4 linked regions of the Caenorhabditis elegans genome follow. The main gene of each other region encodes a partner of the protein of the gene in region 3 in a complex. Each region holds a gene or a part of one and is shown on either strand. Other genes may lie near its edges.

Region 1 (4,989 bases), on a different chromosome or scaffold from region 3:
ATGTTATAGTAAAAATTGCGTGATTTGTACAGTAAAAGGTCAGCAGCATTGTTGTGAGGACTACCCCCTTGGATTGTTGCTTGCTCTTTGATTGTTGAGCGGGCATCGACTGGAGCTCGGTATCGATTGTGCTAGCCAAATAAAAATCGATTAGAGGTGTGGCATTTGAAGAACATCAAATTTCTATAGATACGAAAGTGTCTATATGTATCAAGTAGCAGACTAAAAAAATTCCAAAAAAAATCGCCTACCCCACCTCTATTTTCGATTTTAAATAACCAGTCATTCGATTGAGCGCGCAATTGAGTGCCGCTAGGTCATCAAACAGGGCCGCTCATCGCAAAAACATAGCTTGACAAAATGCTGCTGTGTTACCGTACTAATCATGGAGAACCAAGAATCATCAATCATGAAAAAGCAAGACGATCCGCAGAAGAATAAAAAAGAACTGCTAAAAATCATTTGTGGTTTTGCCTTTAACTTTTCGTTTTATACAAGCTATCCCTTCCGTCGAAGCTGGCAGATTTTGTACCGGCAATACTCTCACTTTTTCCAATGTAAAGCCCAAACCTTTCTGTTGCACAGTCGACAAAACTCATCTAACTCAGAATATGAAACGACCTAACCCTGTCAGAGATATTTTAAGTTTTCAAGTTCTTTCTTAAAATCCAAAACTTCTTTGATTCAACAACTTTTTACTGAAACACTCATAGTCCATACTCTGCAAGGACGAATCCAAAGAGAATAATGTAAACTAATCATCATGTTACAGTAAAACTAACAAAAACACAACTCCGTATCCAGACATAGTCTTCCGATGCAATACACTCACTTTTTCCAATGTAAAGCCCAAACCTTTCTGTTGCACAGTCGACAAAACTCATCTAACCCAGAATATGAAACGACCTAAGACTATCAGAATTATTTTAAGTTTTCAAGTTCTTTCTTAAAATCCAAAACTTCTTTGATTCAACAACTTTTTACTGAAACACTCATAGCAAATCATCTGCAAGGACGAATCCATTGAGAATAATGTATACTAATCATCATGTTATAGTAAAAATTGCGTGATTTGTACAGTAAACGGTCAGCAGCATTGTTGTGAGGACTACCCCCTTGGATTGTTGCTTGCTCTTTGATTGTTGAGCGGGCATCGACTGGAGCTCGGTATCGATTGTGCTATTTACTTAAACAACTGATCGATAAATATATTTAAAATGTACTCGCTGCCGCGTTCTCCGGAAAAAAGGGCAAATGTCCGCATTTCTTCGTAAAGTCTGGTGTTTGCGTACACCCATTTTTCTTTCATTAAATATTTATAAATGCATTGATTCGCGTTTGAGTTTCAAAATTATCTCTATTTGAAATTCCGCGCAAATCTCATGGACGCGGCCTAGGATTCTCTTCGGTCGAGCGCTTGCAACGACGCTCCGTTCTCCCGCATGGGTGTTGTTTAGAGTTTGTTCATATTCCAAATATCGGTCCTATTTTTCAGATTTTCCAGCGTTTTCCAACATTTTTCCACAATTTTCGGAGAAAATTCTGTAAAAATTCAACTTATCTCGTTTTTCCTTCCATTTTCCTTTAAAATATCTCACAATTTACTCAATAAACCGTGTCTAAAGTTTCAGACTAGTTGGGTTACACAGAATGGTCGAAATTGACTTTAATAAAGAGAACGAAGAAGATTTTTCGGATCCGCCAGGATTTGTTGACGACGTCACCGATGATGGTTGGTTTTTTATTCAATTTTTTGAAATCAATTCCAAAAAATAGCCAACAATCAATGTTTTTATTTCAGTTCTCGTTCCTGACGTTCTCCACAAGAAACCAACTATCGATGAATTTGAAGACAATTGCGTCTTCATCGCGGGAATCCCAGTTGTTGGAGCTGACCGTCTTGGAAAACTCCAAAGTGTACTGAAGAAGGTTCTGGAGAGGTTGGATCCTGCAGTGAAGCTCTACATTCCGCCAAGTCCAGAAGGAGGTTGCTTGGTGAGATTCACGCAAACGATATCGATTTTAATATATTTTTTCCAGGGAGTTCTGCTCACCGAGTGGGCCGATCAACGATCCGCTCAGTTCGCCGTGAAAAGTTTGAATGGATATGCTTTCGATAAGAATCACACATTCACCGCCCGTTCTTTCAAGGATATGAAGCAACTCGAAGCTCCTTCCGATCACTGGACAACTCCAGAGAAGCAGGCTTATAATGACGTTGGAGATCTCTGGTGGTGGCTTCAAAACGAGCGTTGCCGTGATCAGTTCGCAATTTCCCACGATAAACTTGGAGTTCCAACTGTCGGAGTGTTCACCAATATGAAGGGAAATGATCCAGAGCTTGCAGGAGATGCCGATAAGGCTGAAAGAGCTGTAAGTTTTGAGAATTATTTGTTTTTAAAAAATGAAATAATTTTTTTTTCCAGAACTGGACCGAAACCGTCTTCACTTGGTCACCACACGGCTCCTACCTTTCCACGATCCATAAGCAAGGAATCATACTTTGGGGAGGCAAAGACTACGCTCGTGCCCACCGTTTCGCTCATACCAACGTTCAATACATTGATTTCTCGCCGTGTGAGACCTACCTTGTTACCTACGCCGCTCCGGAAGAGTCGAACAGCTGGGGAGACTGTGAGAAGGATAGTTTGAGAATTTGGGACGTCCGAACCGGAGAATTGAAGAAGGCCTTTTCCACTTTCGAGCTCACCGGAAGAACTCAGCTCCCAACCTGGCCATTCTTCAGATGGTCATTCGATGAGAAGTACTTCGCGTGCCTCAAGGCTCCAGAAAAGGATAAGCTTGAGCGTGAGCAGAAGATCAACGGAATTTCGATCTTCGAATCCGAGAAGTTCGAGCTCTATGAAGGCCGTCCCGTGAATATCGAGAATATCAAGCAATTCGAGTGGTCGCCAACATCCACAGTCCTCGCCTACTATTCAGAGTGCACTGACGCCGTTCCAGCCGAGTTTGGACTCTTGCAAGTTCCATCAATGCAGAGACTTCGTTCGGCTCGCGTTCACAATGTCGCCGACGCTCAGATGTTCTGGCAGAAGAGCGGAAAGCGATTGGCCTTCTACACGATGAGATTCAAGAAGAAGGAGTACAGAGAGACCGGAGAAGTCAAATATGTGGTAAGTTTTGAGTTTTTTAAAGGATTTTTTGAGGCCTATGACAATAATAATAATAATGATATAATTTCAGGGAGGATGCCAATACCACGTGGACATCTTCGAGATTGACAAGAAGGACGTTTCCCTTATGAATCTCCCACTTTCGGAGCCATTCATCCATTTCGATTGGGATCCAGAAGGCGATAAGTTCTGTGTGCTCGTGGGAAACACCGCTAAGGCCACTCCACAAGTCTACAAGATCGAGGCTAACAGCCACGCACCGAAGCTTGTGAGCAAGTTGGACGCTGGAGTTCACTTCAATGAGGTTCAATTCGCGCCGAAAGGAGGATGGCTTGCAGTTCTCGCCAAGGTGTCAGCTGGAGGAAACGTCTATTTCATTGATACTTCTTTGTCGGAGGCCAAGAGAACTAATGTTATAGAACATCCACTCTTCAATAAGGGATATTGGGATCCAACTGGAAGATACTTTGTGACATGCTCAACGTTGGGAGGAAGAGCCGGAGCCGATTTGGGTTACCGAATCTTCACATTCCAGGGAAGAGAACTGTGCAGAAAGAATCTCGACCGGCTCGCCCAATTCAAGTGGAGACCACGGCCGCCGGTGAAGTTGAGCGAACAGAAGCAGCGTGAGATCAAGAAGAACTTGAAGAAGACCGCCGCCAAGTTCATCAAGCAGGATGACGACGAAAAGTGCAGAGCCAGTCAGGAGGTTGTTGAGAAGCGACGCAAGATCATGGCTGCCTTCGATATTATTCGAAGCCGGAATCGCGAGCAACTCGACGCCACCCGTGACGAGAGAATCTCTCTTCGAAACGGCGTGGACACAGAAGCCCAACTCGACGAGGACGAATTTGTGGATGAGGAGATTACCATTGCGCTGAGCACAAGCAAAACACAAGCCCCTCTGACGGAGGAGGAGATGAGAGACTAATTAGTTATTTGATTTCCCGGTTTTTCCCCTTTTTTATGCGCTGCTTTTTCTTCCTGATTTCTCGAAGACTTGGAGCGGCGTCCCCTCTTTTTGGTGGTTCCACCATGTACTCGTTTTCGTTTTCCTCTTCATTTTCCCAGTCATGTCGTCATTTTCTGAACAACGCCTTTTTCTATGGCAAATTTAACTTTATGATGCCTGAATGGAGAAGGTTTTTTCAAGCTTCTTTTGGGCGGCCCTAATATTATTTAATTGTTTCTCTCTATCCACTTTAATATCTCTTGTTGCTCCCGTCTCTCCGTGTTTTCTGGTGGTTTTTGCCGATAAAATGTTGATGAATTAGTTGATGTTTCAGATTTTTTCCAAATAAACAGAAGTGAAAATTCATAAATTATATTTTTCAGCGCTATAAAATTGTGATTCTGAAAAAAAAATTCCACGTTTATTAAAAATTCCACAAATGGTGCAATGTGACGTGACGGTGTATGCACACTTTGCATTAAATTTGACGACAAATGTCTCATCGGGTTTTCTGTCAATTTTTAATCCACTTTCTCTATTTTACTCTGTTCTTTTTATACTTTTTTAAAATAAAATTTCTATAAAAAACTTTAAACTTCAATTTTAGCAATTAACCCGTTCATGCACTCATCGTTTTCGGAGCCAAATTCGCCGTTGAAAGAGGTGCTCGTAGATAAGTGGCAGACAGCCTCATGCAGCGATTTGGGCGAAGAATATGTAAAAGTAGGGGTTTTTAATGAGAAAATTTAACGAAAAAAAATCAATTTTTCAGCCGGGACCCCTGGCGAGAGCAAAATTCAACGCGTTGCGAAATAAACGCGAAGCAATTGATCGATTTTTGAAAAAGCACCGAAAAGAGGATCTCAGCTTATATATTGGTAATTTTTATTATAGAATTTGAAT
Region 2 (5,019 bases), on a different chromosome or scaffold from region 3:
TTTAACTGCATCACACAATCGTTTCATCCATTCATCAGAAATCTGCACTTGGTCATTGGTTACTAAATAGAGCAAAAAGTGGAAGTTTGTAGCCTGTTCCAAAAATTGATTTGTAGAGAATTCGGATGAATATTGAATCAAATTTGCACCTCCTTGAAGTTGTCCAATTGCTTGTCGATTTTCAACATTAAATTTGGCACTCTTCGATTTATTAGATGTGCCAACGTGGAACGTGTAGTGAGGCTCTTTTGGCATTCCAGCAGGAACATCCACCAGCAAATATTCAACTGGAAGTGGTCGTCCGTTTTTCATAACCTCGGCTCCGTATTCATTTTTCATCGAAAATTGAACATCAGTTATATAATGTTCTTCGGATAATGGTGTCTCTCGAACATAAGCCAATTCAGGAGTGTACAGTGTTGGACAGAGAATATCAGCTTCAACCATGGCCGCACATTGATTTGAAACTTGATATCCGTGGAAATTAACATGCATCGATTCATCACCAGATGCAACAACGGTCACAAATTTGGATCCATAGTGACGATCCATCGAGTACTCTGTGATGTTTGGATGTTGATTTTGAAGCATTGCTGCGGTGATGCATTCCTCAGCTGATAGGAAGAAGGAATCCTGAAAAATTATTCGTTTTTTGGGCTTCTCTTCGAGATTGTTCTCACCTTGTGCCGTGTATAATGTACAGTTCCTTCAGCACTATTAGCTGTCCAACAATCTGTGAAGATCCATCCAACACGTTGCAAGCCAAGCATTTCCAGCAAATTGTCAATAGTTTTTTGATTTTTATCCTCCAAAAACTCAATTCCATCTTCACGGCAGTGTTGTGGAGGTTCATAAATTGCAGCCACTGTAGCCTGAAAGTATGAGCAATGAAATAACTCGTCTCAAGAAATGAGTGATGAAGTACTGAACTTACCTTGATTCCTAGTGGAACTTCAAGGTGAGGCTGATACTGTCCAATTAAAAATCCAACACGCTGATGGCCCGATAGTCTCCAATAATCCAAAAACTGATTTACAAGCTCTTGATTTTCAATTTGAATGTTATCAACATGACGAAACTTTTGACGATTCAATGTTACAACCTGTGGTTTGCATTTAGTGCAAATTCCTTTCGGGAACGGCTTGTGAGCATCACAGTTGGGTTTTAATGAACATCGAAAGTTTTCCAGCGGTTTTTTGAGAGTCGTGCCCTTCCCCTGGGATCCAAGGAGCTTGCGAACATGTGCATGGAAGCTCATATGCTTGATATCTTTTTCTTTCAAATATTCTTCATCGAATGGCTGTAAATATTGATATTAGTTTCTATGAAAACAACAGAAAATATCACTTACATCAACAGGCAAACAATTAGTGCACTTTTGACGTACAGGATGCCGACAGTTGGGCCCTTTTGGACGCTGAATTTGACCATCTTGCGTGCTTAAAAAAACATCAACGTCGTTGACACGCTCAGTTTGAGGGACTTCAATTACCATATCTGAAATAAAATAGATTTTTAAATGCAGGAAGATATGCCTTCTAGGTAGTGAATTGAAGATATATAATTTTGAGATTTTGCAAAAATAATGCAGCGGAAAGGGTATCAAATTAGTTTCCATACATATTCAAACATTAAACAGCAAATGAAATAAAACATTTTGTTTTTAGAATAAAAAATGTCATCAAAACTGCCTAGACAACATGAATGACGAGCAAATGCGTACACAAAAAACCGTGCGGCACTCTTGCGAAATCCCATGCAACGCTTGCAATTTTCTTTTTTCCATCACATTTTCCAATTCCTTTCATCAAATTTTACAATTAAAAAAATGTTTTCTCTTAATTTTAGCGTACCTTTTCGAATTTAGTTTGACATTTAAATAATATCAATATAAAAACCTTCTTTCAGTAATGTCTCGACGCGTGGAATTCGATTTATCCACTGAAGATCACTCTGATCGTCGTCGCACCAACACCTTTTCTTGTAAGTTCACAGAATGCTATTTTTCAGAATTGATGAATAAGAGTAAAATGAGTTGAAAAATGTTAAAATTTGAAACAGTTCGAAAAGACTGAAGACTCGGTCCTTTTTTGATTAACCGATTTATTTTAATTCGGCAAACAGACATTTGGAGAATTTGGTCTGAAATAATTTTGCATAAAAACTGCAGATTAACATTCCATGAGCAAAATACATAAAATTCAGAAAAACCAAATTTTCCAAATACTGTTACAGTGAAGAATCAATGCCAATTCTCAGAACTCCCTCATTGTATATGAAAATGACTACTTTTGTCATTTTCAGTGTTTTTCGGTGTCGAATATCCTCAAATCTCAGATTAAATGAATCACAGCTTTATTCATTTGAAAGAAATAATAAATGAAAAGGTGTTCATAAGAGTTCATAAGAAGTTAATCATTTAAAAGCCCGAGAGAGAAGTTGAGTATCAGAGGATCAATGATCGTGCATTGTGAAATCTTTTCAAAAGAAAAATTGATAATCAATCAATAGAGTAATTCTATAAACATATTTATGGTAGTTATTTAGGTGCTTGTTAACAACACAAACTTATCTCATTTCTTAATTTTTAACAGCTTCAGCCGATGAGGATGGAGTTCCAAATGAGGTCGCCGACTACCTGGTCTACTTTTCCCGCATGGTTGACGAACAAAATGTGCCGGAAATTTTGACTCTCTACGATCAAGCTTTTCCAGATCTCACCGAGAGGTAATATTTAATAATCTCAAATTGTTTTCTATTTATCTTTTAATTTCAGATTCTTCCGTGATCGCATGTGGCCCGATGAGAATGTTGTCGAAAGAATTATTGGACCTGGCAACAAGTTGTTCATAATTCTCTACAAGGAACTCTATTATCGCCAGCTGTATGCAAGAAATACTCGTGGACCACTCCTTGTCCATCGCTATGAGTCGTTCATGAACTATCAAGAGTTATTCTCTGAGCTTCTCTCAAGCAAGGATCCAATTCCATTGTCTCTCCCTAACGTGTGGCTTTGGGATATTATCGACGAATTCGTCTATCAATTCCAGGTAATATTTTTTGGTAGAGTTTGTACGTAATATAAATATTCAGGCATTCTGTCTCTACAAGGCTAACCCAGGAAAACGCAATGCTGATGAAGTTGAAGATCTCATCAATATCGAAGAAAATCAGAACGCGTGGAATATCTATCCAGTTCTCAACATTCTCTATTCGCTTCTATCAAAATCCCAAATTGTGGAGCAGCTCAAGGCATTGAAGGTTTGTTTAATTCAATATTATTTTTTTGCTTTCAACTCTACAGTCGTTCCAGGAAAAACGCAATCCGGATTCGGTCGCCGATGAATTCGGTCAATCGGATCTCTACTTCAAGCTTGGATATTTCGCTCTCATCGGACTTCTCCGCACTCACGTTCTTCTAGGAGACTATCATCAGGCTTTGAAAACCGTGCAATACGTGGATATTGATCCAAAAGGAATCTACAATACAGTTCCAACTTGCCTTGTTACTCTCCATTACTTTGTTGGATTTTCTCATTTGATGATGAGAAATTACGGAGAAGCTACAAAGATGTTCGTCAATTGTCTGCTTTATATTCAAAGAACAAAGAGTGTTCAAAATCAGCAGCCATCGAAAAAGAACTTCCAATATGATGTTGTGAGTACTTTCTAAATTTTTTGCACAATATTTGCACAATAATTGAATATCTAATGAAGACCCAATAATATTCTGCCGATTTCAGATTGGAAAGACGTGGGATCAGCTTTTCCATCTTCTTGCAATCTGCCTCGCCATCCAGCCACAAAGAATCGATGAAAGCATTGCTTCTCAGCTTTCGGAGCGATGTGGTGAGCGTATGATGCACATGGCGAACGGGAATATCGATGAATTCAGAAATGCTTTTGCTACTGGGTAGGAAACGAAATTAGTCAAGTAATTGTATAGTATTGTATTGTTGCAGATGTCCAAAGTTCTTGTCTCCAACCACAGTTGTCTATGAGGGAGTCAACCAATCGAAAGAACCACTTCTTCGTCAAACTCAATCTTTCCTGGAAGGTATTGAATCACAGATGGCGTTACCAGTTCTTCGTGGATACCTGAAACTTTACACAACACTTCCAACTAAGAAGCTTGCGTCGTTCATGGATGTTGATGATGAGCACTATGATTCGTTCATTGGAAAGCTTCTCACTTACAAGGTATATATAAGAATTTCCGATGATCTCGAGTGTTGATGTAATATTTTGAATTTCAGATGATCGTCAATGAGCTTGGCAAAGAAGCCGGACCATCATCAGCAGACGACGATGAGCCACAAACAGATATTGACTTTTACGTAGACCGTGATATGATCAATATTGCCGATACCAAAGTTGCTCGTCACGTCGGTGAACATTTCATTCGACATATTCAGAAGTTGCAAGAGGTTCAGGATGTGCTCAAACGACTCGATATCCAGAAACCATGATCCTTAAAAAGTATTTGAGCTAAACGAAACATGACTGGTTGATTTCCGGTTAATTTCGTTTAGTTTCACACCAACTCCCACTCGTTTGTTAACATTATATCTCTTGTTGAAAATTAAAAACATCTCTCCGTTTATTTATACCACTTTCTCCTGTTGTTGTCTTTTCGTTTTGGTCCTAAACTTCCTTTTTTTCTCTTATCTCCCAATTATTTTGTATCCATGGTTCATAATAAGTTTAGTAAATTTTTTTGGTTTTTCTTATGAAGTTAATTTATGATTGTTTATATTCTACGCTCATCGCAACTACTTCTCAATTTTTTCCGAATAATTATTAATCTCTCTTACGAGTAGTCTTGTATGTACAGTGATAGACTGTACTTTGACCTATAGGTCCATGGTTTTCACCTAGAACGTAGTCTTATGTGTATTCTCCCACTAGTTATGCCTGCGTCTCCAGTCTCGAGGGAAGATAAGTAGAACAGGAGGACAACAACAATCTTTTCCATTGATCCCGATTTTTTTTCCCGTTTGTTTTCAAAATTAAAAAAAA
Region 3 (6,416 bases):
CAAATTTGTGATTTTTGAGAATTATTTAAAGCTTCCGATTGAACAAAACTGCACAATTTCTGAAAAACGTGCTATTTCATCGTATTTTAGCTTAAAAATACGATTTTTTGCTCGAAAAATCGCTATTTTGACCAAAATTCAACGGAAAATTCAATTTTTCCATTAAAATTCCACTGAAATTCATATTTTTCGAGGTAAACCGCAGGTTTCGTTTGCTCCGATGAGCTGTTAGAGTTGAATGCCAGTGGACAACTTGATAATGGACAAAATGTGAAATGTAAGCAGAATAACGAAGGAGAACTCAGTTTTGAGTTCGGATCAGAAGCTCAGAAGAAGAATTAATTGATTTTTTAATGTCTTTTTTCGAATTTGGGACACGTTTTTGGTGCTTTTTGAGCTAATAAAGTTGATTTTTGAGCATTTTTTCATGATTTTAGGGTGTAAAAACCTAATTTTACACCAAAAAACTGGGTTTTTCGGATGAAAAATGCAACTTTCCAAGTTCCTTTGGAGCTTCCGAGCTTCATCTCAAATTTGTGATTTTTGAGAATTGTTTGAAGCTTGCGACAACACAATTCCTGGAAAACGTGCTATTTCATCGTATTTTTGCTTAAAAATACGATTCTAAGCACGGAAAGTTGCTACTTTGAACGAAGTTCAACGGAAAATTCAATTTTTCCATTAAAATTCTACTGAAAATCATATTTTTCGAGGTAAAATCCAATTTTCGCAGATTCCATTTGTTGATTTTTAAGCATTTTTTTAAAATGATTTTAAGGTGAAAAAATCCAATTTTCCCCGAAAAACTGGACTTTTCTTAAGAAAAATGCTAGATTTTTCCAGTTCTGGAAAGATTCCCACGTTCCAGTGGTGCTTTCCAGCAACTTTTTCACAAATTTCTGTTTTTTTTTTCAAAATAAACTGCTTTTTTTTTTAGAAATTATATATTTTTTGAGCAGAAAAAGTGAAAATTTCGATATATATTAGGCCTAAAATGGAATTTTTTGAAGAAAATTCAGAAAAAAATTAATTTATAAAAGAGAAAAATCGATATCTCAGCTACCGTAAAAGCTTTAAAGGCGCATAGCAAAATTTAATTCTAACTTTAGAGACTGTAGTTTTCGCTTCGAGACCACAAGCTTATTTTTCGCTCTAATTGGCTAAAAATTAACTTTTTCGAGGCAAAAATTTCTGGAATTAGCTTTAAAAAATGTGAAAATACATATTTTTAACCTAAAAATTCATGGAAATTTCTATAAAATGTTTTTTAAGGATTTTAAAACGTTTTTTTCAACAAATTATCGCAAAACCCCACATTTTTACTAAGAATCTGTGTGGCATTTCTGATGAGTGCTGGTGATTTTGTCAGTGACGAGAAACTGCGGTAAACTGCCTGAAAATCAATATTTTACCGGAAATTCTCGGGTTTTTTAACGATACCTGCGATCTGATAGTGTTTGACGCGTTCCGTAGGCCAGCTATTAGTCGTAATTGTAACATTATCGATCTCTGAAAACTGGATTCGGTGAAGCTTTCGCAAAAAAATCGATGAGAATTGAGAGTTGCGAAATTTAGCAGTTATTTGTGGTGGAACATGTTAAAATTTGAGTTTTTAATTAATATATTGCTAAAAATTTGATAAAATTCACTTTTTAATTGTTGAAAACTACTGAAAACCACTCGAAATTGCTGAAAATTGCTGAAAATCGAAATTTCGTCAGCTGATGTCGATTATTCTGCGCGGGGGTACGGTACGCAAGTCCGCAAACACTGTCACGCCAAATTGCGGAGGTTGAGCCAAATCCTATTTCTTGTTGTTTTTTCGCTTATTTTTCGAATATTTCCCATGTTTTCTGGCTTCTAATTTTCATTTTTTTAATGGAATTTATTAATAATTAAGCCAATAATTCATTTTATAATCAAAACTGCCGAATATTCCACCAATTTCTCGCAGAAACCTTCAAAAATAGGGGATTTCTTTCAGAAATGCGTCCACTTTCGCTGAAAGGCCACGAACGTGCTCTCACTCGGGTCCGTTTCAATCGTGAGGGAGATTTGACGTTCTCCTGTGCTAAGGACAAGAAGCCATGCGTTTGGTATACTGAAAATGGAGAGAGAATCGGTATTTTTGAATATTTTCGCGAAAAATTTTCGCAGAATTAAAGGTGGAGTAGCGCTAGTGGGAAAATTGCTTTAAAACATGCATATGGTACCACAATGACCGAATATCATGATTAAAAATTTCAAAAAAATTTTCTAAATTTTATATGATTTTTTGAAAATTGAAAAAATCTCAGTTTTTGCCTAATTTCAATTTTAATTACCGCCAATTGGATTTGTTCGATGGAGCGCGCTTGCACGTTTTTAAATTTATTTATTTTATTTATTGTTATTTTCCACCGATTTTTAATGTTTTCGGTGTATTTTTGCTTGAATTTTAGAGAAAAAGTCAAAAGAATTGCAAATTTTCAATTAAAAAGCACGCTTACAGGCGTAAATCAGTGAAATTTATTAATTCAGGTTCGAAATCGTTTAAAAGCGTTACTTTTCATTTTTTACGCCTCTAAGCGTGCTTTTTAATCGAAAATTTGCAATTATTTTGACTTTTTCTCTAAAATTCAAGCAAAAATACATCGAAAACATTAAAAATCGTTGGAAAATAACAAAAAATAAAATAAATAAATTTTAAAACGTGCAAGCGCGCTCCATCGAACAAATCCAATTGGCGGTAATTAAAATTGGAATTAGGCAAAAACTGAGATTTTTTTCAATTTTTCAAAAAATCATATAAAATTTAGAAAATTTTTTTGAAATTTTTAATCATGATATTCGGTCACTGTGGTACCATATGCATGTTTTAAAGCAATTTTCCCACTGACGCTACTCCACCTTTTAAATATATTTATTTATTATTTTTCTTTTCAGGTAGCTACGACGGGCATAACGGAGCCGTGTGGGATATCGACGTCTCATGGGACACTACCAAGTGTGTCACCGCGTCCGGAGACCTCACCGTGAAGATTTGGGATGCCGAGCTCGGCAACTGCCTCTACACAATCAACCATCAGACTCCGATGAAGTCGTGCGGATTCTCGTATTCAGGAAATTTGGTGTGCTTCACCACACAAAAGATGACAAAGAATCTCTCGACGTTCCAAGTCCGAGATCTTCGTGATTCAAGTCAAATGGTTGAGGGTGGAGAGTCATTCTTCTACTCACAATTCGATGTGAACGCCACGACCGCACTTTTCACTCAGATGGATGACCTCGTGACGATCGGATTCGAGTCTGGACTCCTTCAGCAGTACGATTTGAGAAATCCGGATACACCAATTCACACTAACGAGAGTGTTCATCGTGTTCGTCATTTTTTCGTTGTTCTCTGGAGCGCTTGCTGACACTTTACGATCTCCTGAATTGGCGGAAATTTTATTGCTAATTTTTGGTTTTTATTGTTGTGGGGAAACATTATTAGAGCCGAAAGTGTGTACAATTTGGAAAATTGGCGAAATTTCGCATTAAAAAACCGTGCGCGGCACAGTTGCGAAGAAGGCGTGCCAGGGTTGCATCCTGACTCCGCACACAAGATTAAAACCAAAAATTCGAAGAAATAATTTAGTTTTCTCGAAAAATGGAACAAAATCGGCAGTTTTTTCGATTTGAAAGCCGTGAAAATCTCATTTTGAAGAGAAAAAGCAGCAAAATCCGGCAGTGATTGATTATTTTGATTATTCTAATTTTTTTCAATGAAAAAACCAATTAAATCAATTAAAACTGTATTTTTCTCTACAAAAAATGTATATTTTAAAATTCTGAAATCAAAAAACTCCCGATTTTTGATGTAAAACCTTAAATTTTACGCGTTTTCGAGTCGTATAAAGCTTCCCAACAACAATATCCATCAAAAATTTATATTAATTTCCATAGAAACCAAAATTAGCAAAAAAACCTTATTTCCCGTGGAAACAAAATTCCGCGAATTCGGGAGTTCGTGAGGTGTCAGCAAGCGCGCTCCAATGATTATAAGACCGAGGCTCCACGAAATTCAAGATCTTGTGGAATTCCGGATCTGGCACCGTACCAACTCAAAAAAAATTAACGCAATTTTTCTGGAAAAAATCCTGACAACGATGCTCCGATGTTACGCATCGCGTGTTGTTTAGCGTTTTTCCTGAAGAAAATTTAAAAAAAAACCACATTTTTCTTCGAGAAAACTGCGAAAACTGCAGTTGGCACGGTGCCAGATCCGGAATTCGACGAGATCTTTAATCCGTGGTGCCTCCGTGATTTCTAAAATAATTTCAAAAAAAAAATTTCCCAAAATTTCAGTACAGCGTCCAAGATCTCCAACTATCACCACGCGGCGATTTCCTGATCTCCGCTTCACGCGACAAGACGGCCGCCCTGCTCGACGTGAACGATCTGAAAAAGCTGAAACAATACAAATCCGAGCGTCCCGTCAACTCGGCATGCATCTCACCGAATCGCGATCACATTTGCCTTGGAGGAGGAGAAGACGCGATGCAGGTCACACAGACGTCTGTCTCTGCTGGACACTTTGAAGCCAAGATCTATCATATGGTGTTCGAAGAGGAATTCGCCAGATTCAAGGGACATTTCGGACCGATTAACACGATGGCCTGGCATCCATCGGGCACAATTATCGCGACTGGAGGAGAAGACGGTATGGGGATTCCACTGCAACTTTTTTTTTGAACGAGGGACGAGGAAATGCGGTTTCTAGGCCATGACCGAGGATCCGACAAGATTTATCAGCAATTTATCTTGCTTTGTTTTCCGCGTTTTTTCTTTTATTTTTCACCGATGTTTCCCCCGTTTTTTCTTATTAAAACTGATGAAGAAATATTGTTTTTGCAGATGCTAAAATAATTTTCAAGTGAAAAAATTGTGAATTCAGCCGGCAAGTAGCGGTGGAAGTGGTCAATGTAATATGATGGATTACGGGAATACTAAACCTAAACTTTCTTCCAAAACATGCTATAAATGCTGCTTAGATGCTGAAACTACCTGATTTTAATAACGAGACCGCTGAAAAAGTTTTGAGATTTTCAAAATTCAACCTTTTTGGCGAAAAAGTCGAGATTTTTCCACAAAATGTTGAATTTTGAAAATCTCAAAAAACTTTTTCAGCGGTCTCGTTATTAAAATCAGGTAGTTTCAGCCTCTAAGCAGCATATGTATCATGTTTCGAAAAAAGTTTAGTGTTTAGTATTCCCGTAATCCATCATATTACATTGACCACTTTCACCGCTACTTGCCGGCTGAATTCACAATTTTTTTCACTTGGAAATTATTTTAGCATCTGGTTTTAAAAAAATTTATTTATCAGTTTTAATAAGAAAAAAACGGGGGAAAAATCGGTGAAAAATAAAAGAAAACTCGCGGAAAACATTGCAAGATAAATTGCCGATAAATCTTGTCGGATCCTCGGCCATGGCCTAGAAACCGCATTTCCTCGTCCCTCGTTCAAAAAAAAGTTGCAGTGCGATTTGAGGATTTTTCATATAAAAATTCAAAAATTATTGATTTTTTTCCAGGTTACATCAGAATTCAAGAGTTCGACGAGGACTACCTCGGCTTCACCTACGATTTTTAATTTGTTCTACGTTTTCGTTTTCTTCCTGTTTCCCGGGCGATCGTATTTGCCAAAAAAAGACCGTTTCCCCCTTTTTCCTACTCGTTCCTGTTGAAAACCGCCTAATTTTAGAGTTTAAATGACGAATTTAAGCCTATGCAGTTCGGAAAACCTTTAAAATTTATCAAATTCTAAAATTACGCGGTGGTGATTTTCTGTTTTTTCCATTTTTTCCATATTTAAGATCAATTTTCGGTGGCTTTTAATTGTTTTTTTTTTCATAAATAAATATTATTTTGAGTTAAAATTGATCTATTCCCTCGAATTTCTTGGTTTTAATCTCCAATTATTATATTTTTAAAAAAAATTAATTTTTTCTCAATTAAAAATTAAGAAAAATTGTGGGCGGAGTCAGAATGCAACCCTGGCACGCTTTTTTCGCAACTGCCGCGCACGATTTTTCCTGCAATTTTTAAATATTTTTACCCAATTTTCAGCGTTTTCAATGCCTCACACAAACGGAAAAGGCGGCGGAGCACAGAAATGGGCTGGAAATAATAAAAGAAAACGAAATTTCGATGGCGAGCAGGATCCAAGTGTCAGAAAAGCGTTGAAGGAGAAGCGGCTTCTGAAAAAGAGAAAACAGGATTTAAAGGGACAGGAGGAGACAATGCTCGACGAAGTTGAGCAGAAATATCAGGAAATGCTCAAGGTAGCTCTAAAAAATAGTTTTTTTATTAAAAAATCGATTTTTCCAGAAAAGCTCCCGCACATTTCTCCGCTTCGAGGATTTCCCGCTCTCCTGGAGGACACTGGAGGG
Region 4 (3,676 bases), on a different chromosome or scaffold from region 3:
GTTTGATCTCGTCTGTTAATATAGATAAATAGAGAACAAAGGGATGATCGGTGATCTTTCAAGACCCGATTGATAACGGCCGGAGTGACGTTGAAACGGAAAAAGGACGTGACCCGAAAAAAGAAGGGATTGTTTACAAACTACACAAAACACAGATTTATAATGACTGGTTGGGTAGACATCTTTCGGAAGGGATCCGGATTGAGAAGGATATTCTAAAAGAAAAGATGAAGGGGAATCTATAGGTGAAATAGGGATTACAATCAACGAAAGGAATATTGCAATCCAAACTGTAACTCTAAAATTTCAGGTTCGCACTCTCATTCTTGCTGTTCATGAATACACTCAGAAACCAGTAAACATCATTGCTTGCTCCATGGGATCTCCAATTACCAGAAAAGCTATTCTTGGAGGACACTGTGTTGATAGTGGAGTCAATTTGGGACGCCCAATTAATCATCTAATTCATAATTATGTTTCTGTTGGTGGAGCAAATCACGGAGCTATTATGTGCGCCAAGCAGCCATTTGTGAATGGAATCTGTAGTTTAACACATGGTTTGGATTGCCGTTCCAAGTTCTTACAAGAGATCAACTCACAGTAAGTTTCGCAAAAAAAGTATCCCAGCACAGGGAATTGAACTCATGCAGGTGTGCGTGAAAGGCAAAACTTTTAGCCACTAAGCCAGCAAGGCTTTTCATTTTTTGGGTATACTAGGGCATACTTAAATTTAATTACGTTGTTTTCTGTACACATAAACATTAATTTCATGATTTTACAAGTCAACATTTTTTTCAGGCCGTTCCAATACGGAAAGAACATGTTCGCCATTTATTCCGTAGCTGACGAAGTTATTGGACTCAGAAATACGTGTGGAGAGATGTCCTCACCATTAGAAGGAGCCACTTCAATCGTCAAAACTAGACTAATGCATGGAGCAGTTATTGGTGGAACTACAGAAGATCAATGGAGGGCTCTTCAAACCTCATAAAAACAAAATCTCACCAAAAATACTAATTGACATCAAATTTCACTTGTGATCTCTTTAATTTCCTTGTTTATATTGATTCGAACTCGTTGCTTTCATTCAAAACTTTGTGTGTATATTGTTCAAAAGTTTAATAAATCAGTACAATCGTTGATTAAATTGGTATTTTGAACGAAAATGATCAGAATGTTAAATTCGTCCAAGTGATCAAGTCCATCAGGCGACTTGTAAGAATTCTCATAAGAATAGAGATAGGAAACTGCTATATTTCGCAGATCAATCTAGACACATGATACAATGTTGTGATTTTCTCCGAAAACGAAGATATTTATTATTTTCTTCAGAAATCTCTTCCGATGAGACTGAATAATCTGTGAAAACCGGAGCGGCGGCGCCATTTGGCTTTTGGGCAATACGGTGCGCAATTCTGCAAACACATGATCCCACGCGCAAATGCACAGATTTCCCAATGCGTCGTTGTTTCCCAAATTTTCGATTTTCGGGATATTTCTACATTTTTAAAAGATTTCCAGCCGTGTTTTTGTTGTAGAATATTTTTTTTACATATTTATAGTTTGTTTTTATAGATATTTGCTAAAAACTATGAATCTAGTTGAATATTCGCTTATTCTGGAAAAAAAAATCAAATACTTTAAAATCTACATGTTTTGAAGAGCTGTTTCTTTTTAATTCTGAAGTTTGTTAAACCATTTATTTGAAATTTTTTCTTATTTTATATTGCTAAAAACATAATCAATAGTTTTTCAGGTAGTAAAGTTACAGCTATGACTGGCATTAACGCGTGAGTTTTCACCCTCGAATAATTATTTACGTAAAGAAAGTTTCAGAATGGCTCCCGCTCCAGAAGTTGTAAGCTGGGCTGAGGCCGTTGAGCAAGACAGTAAGTTTTTCATTTCTCGTCTTCAAGAATATTTACGTGAACTTTCACGGTTTTCGCATTTGGAGTGCAACCGCCTAACAAAACGAGTCATTTCTGTATGAACTGATGAACGCTTTTGCAGACGCCCCACACATCCAGGAAGGAGCTGATGGAACACGTACCGAAACAGCTTTCACTGAGGTTGATGGAGTAAGATGGAAGGTTTGTTATCCGATGGCCAAAAAATTCGCCTTACAGAATTCTCGAGTTATGCTCTAGAATTCTTTCAATTCCAAATTTCAGGTTGTGACACAGTTCAAAGTTATCAACAAACGTGTACCAAAAGTCGTCGCTGATCGCAAAAAATGGGTGAAATTCGGAAGTTGTAAGGGAGAGCCAGCAGGACCCCAAGTTGCCACAACTTACGTGGCTGAAGAAGTCGATATGCAATTCACAAGAAATCGCGCAGGAGAGCAGATTCTTGACGTTCAAGAAGACAAACAGACTGCTAAAACTACAAGCCGTGAGCATTGCCGTCATTGCAAAGGAAACGACCATTGGAGTACTCATTGTCCTTACAAGGTCATGTACCAATTGGACGAGGAAGCTGATGCTGACAAGGATACTGAAAAGGATAGAATGGCAATGGGAATGCGTCCTGATGGAAGACAAATCGATAGAAATCGGTAAGCATTCAAAATACTGTAATCTAAGTTGCCCAAAAAATCTTGATGATTGAATAATTTATGAACTATTTTTAAAACATACTTTCAGATCCGATGAGAATACATGCCGTGTCACCAATCTTCCGCAAGAGATGAACGAAGACGAACTTCGTGATTTGTTCGGAAAGATTGGAAGAGTCATCCGAATCTTCATTGCCCGTGACAAAGTCACTGGTCTCCCGAAAGGATTCGCCTTCGTTACATTTGAATCAAGAGATGACGCCGCCCGTGCAATTGCAGAACTCAATGATATCCGAATGTACCATATGGTTCTCAAAGTCGAATGGACACGTCCGAGCAACTAATCCGTTTTCTGATTTATTTATGTTATGCGTACTTGGATGTTTTCCCGCTGTTTGGTTCTTCATAATTTCGTAGCTAGTGTCTGTCTAAACTGAAAATTACTGTAGACCAATTCGATGTTTGTTGTTCTTTCCTATTGAAATCATAATTTTTACTTTCTATGGTTATCAGAGTTGGCAAGTGAAGTTTATTTTCACGAAGGCAGTTCTAGCTATGAAAATTGTTGGTATTTCCTTTTCTTTCTTCAATGATAAATCTATCTCTTCCTGGTTATTTTTTCGTTCTATTTTTCCAATCGAGTTGGGTTTCTGTCCAATGTAAAATATCATAGTTTGAATAAAAATCTGATGGCTAAAAATTTTCAAACGCAATAGAACATTTTATAACTCAAAAATTCCAGATGGGCTTCTTGAAGATTCTCCGTAAGCAACGTGCTCGGGAACGCGAGATGAGAATATTAATTCTTGGATTAGACAACGCTGGAAAGACTACTTTAATGAAAAAATTCCTCGACGAGCCGACTGATACAATTGAACCAACATTAGGATTTGATATCAAAACCGTGCATTTCAAAGATTTTCAACTAAACTTATGGGATGTTGGCGGACAGAAAAGTCTAAGATCTTATTGGAAGAATTATTTCGAATCCACAGATGCTTTAATTTGGGTGGTAGATTCGTCAGATAGAGGTAGAAACAAATATTTAGGATACATTCAAATTTATAAAAACTTTTTTCAGAGCGTCTTCTACAATGCTCCGAAGAACTCAAAAAATTGCTC

The links.
Region 1: eif-3.I (region 3) and eif-3.B share a complex: the UniProt entries of both Caenorhabditis elegans proteins name them as parts of the eukaryotic translation initiation factor 3 (eIF-3) complex.
Region 2: eif-3.I (region 3) and eif-3.L share a complex: the UniProt entries of both Caenorhabditis elegans proteins name them as parts of the eukaryotic translation initiation factor 3 (eIF-3) complex.
Region 4: eif-3.I (region 3) and eif-3.G share a complex: the UniProt entries of both Caenorhabditis elegans proteins name them as parts of the eukaryotic translation initiation factor 3 (eIF-3) complex.

The regions. Positions count from the first base shown.
Region 1 is NC_003280.10:14,793,779-14,798,767, forward strand, and holds eif-3.B (Eukaryotic translation initiation factor 3 subunit B), read left to right. Parts: upstream 1-1,625; 5' UTR 1,626-1,650; coding exon 1,651-1,732; intron 1,733-1,801; coding exon 1,802-1,995; intron 1,996-2,040; coding exon 2,041-2,373; intron 2,374-2,426; coding exon 2,427-3,134; intron 3,135-3,204; coding exon 3,205-4,065; 3' UTR 4,066-4,457; downstream 4,458-4,989. Other genes in the region: tbc-20 (Rab-GAP TBC domain-containing protein), read left to right, coding at 4,708-4,809, 4,859-4,964. UniProt on the Caenorhabditis elegans protein: RNA-binding component of the eukaryotic translation initiation factor 3 (eIF-3) complex, which is involved in protein synthesis of a specialized repertoire of mRNAs and, together with other initiation factors, stimulates binding of mRNA and methionyl-tRNAi to the 40S ribosome.
Region 2 is NC_003280.10:5,619,373-5,624,391, reverse strand, and holds eif-3.L (Eukaryotic translation initiation factor 3 subunit L), read left to right. Parts: upstream 1-1,910; coding exon 1,911-1,983; intron 1,984-2,594; coding exon of another isoform or gene 2,595-2,600; coding exon 2,601-2,727; intron 2,728-2,776; coding exon 2,777-3,050; intron 3,051-3,093; coding exon 3,094-3,261; intron 3,262-3,304; coding exon 3,305-3,658; intron 3,659-3,743; coding exon 3,744-3,913; intron 3,914-3,962; coding exon 3,963-4,200; intron 4,201-4,256; coding exon 4,257-4,469; downstream 4,470-5,019. Other genes in the region: npl-4.2 (Nuclear protein localization protein 4 homolog 2), read right to left, coding at 1-633, 681-872, 935-1,300, 1,352-1,495. UniProt on the Caenorhabditis elegans protein: Component of the eukaryotic translation initiation factor 3 (eIF-3) complex, which is involved in protein synthesis of a specialized repertoire of mRNAs and, together with other initiation factors, stimulates binding of mRNA and methionyl-tRNAi to the 40S ribosome.
Region 3 is NC_003279.8:2,483,883-2,490,298, forward strand, and holds eif-3.I (Eukaryotic translation initiation factor 3 subunit I), read left to right. Parts: upstream 1-1,978; 5' UTR 1,979-1,986; coding exon 1,987-2,122; intron 2,123-2,925; coding exon 2,926-3,359; intron 3,360-4,329; coding exon 4,330-4,684; intron 4,685-5,558; coding exon 5,559-5,617; 3' UTR 5,618-5,905; downstream 5,906-6,416. Other genes in the region: abtm-1 (Iron-sulfur clusters transporter ABCB7, mitochondrial), read right to left, coding at 1,316-1,393, 1,441-1,500; ddx-10 (ATP-dependent RNA helicase), read left to right, coding at 6,102-6,308, 6,355-6,416. UniProt on the Caenorhabditis elegans protein: Component of the eukaryotic translation initiation factor 3 (eIF-3) complex, which is involved in protein synthesis of a specialized repertoire of mRNAs and, together with other initiation factors, stimulates binding of mRNA and methionyl-tRNAi to the 40S ribosome.
Region 4 is NC_003280.10:8,441,011-8,444,686, forward strand, and holds eif-3.G (Eukaryotic translation initiation factor 3 subunit G), read left to right. Parts: upstream 1-1,756; 5' UTR 1,757-1,773; coding exon 1,774-1,790; intron 1,791-1,836; coding exon 1,837-1,889; intron 1,890-2,010; coding exon 2,011-2,090; intron 2,091-2,171; coding exon 2,172-2,554; intron 2,555-2,642; coding exon 2,643-2,898; 3' UTR 2,899-3,165; downstream 3,166-3,676. Other genes in the region: lips-10 (LIPaSe related), read left to right, coding at 311-600, 799-991; evl-20 (ADP-ribosylation factor-like protein 2), read left to right, coding at 3,297-3,585, 3,636-3,676. UniProt on the Caenorhabditis elegans protein: RNA-binding component of the eukaryotic translation initiation factor 3 (eIF-3) complex, which is involved in protein synthesis of a specialized repertoire of mRNAs and, together with other initiation factors, stimulates binding of mRNA and methionyl-tRNAi to the 40S ribosome.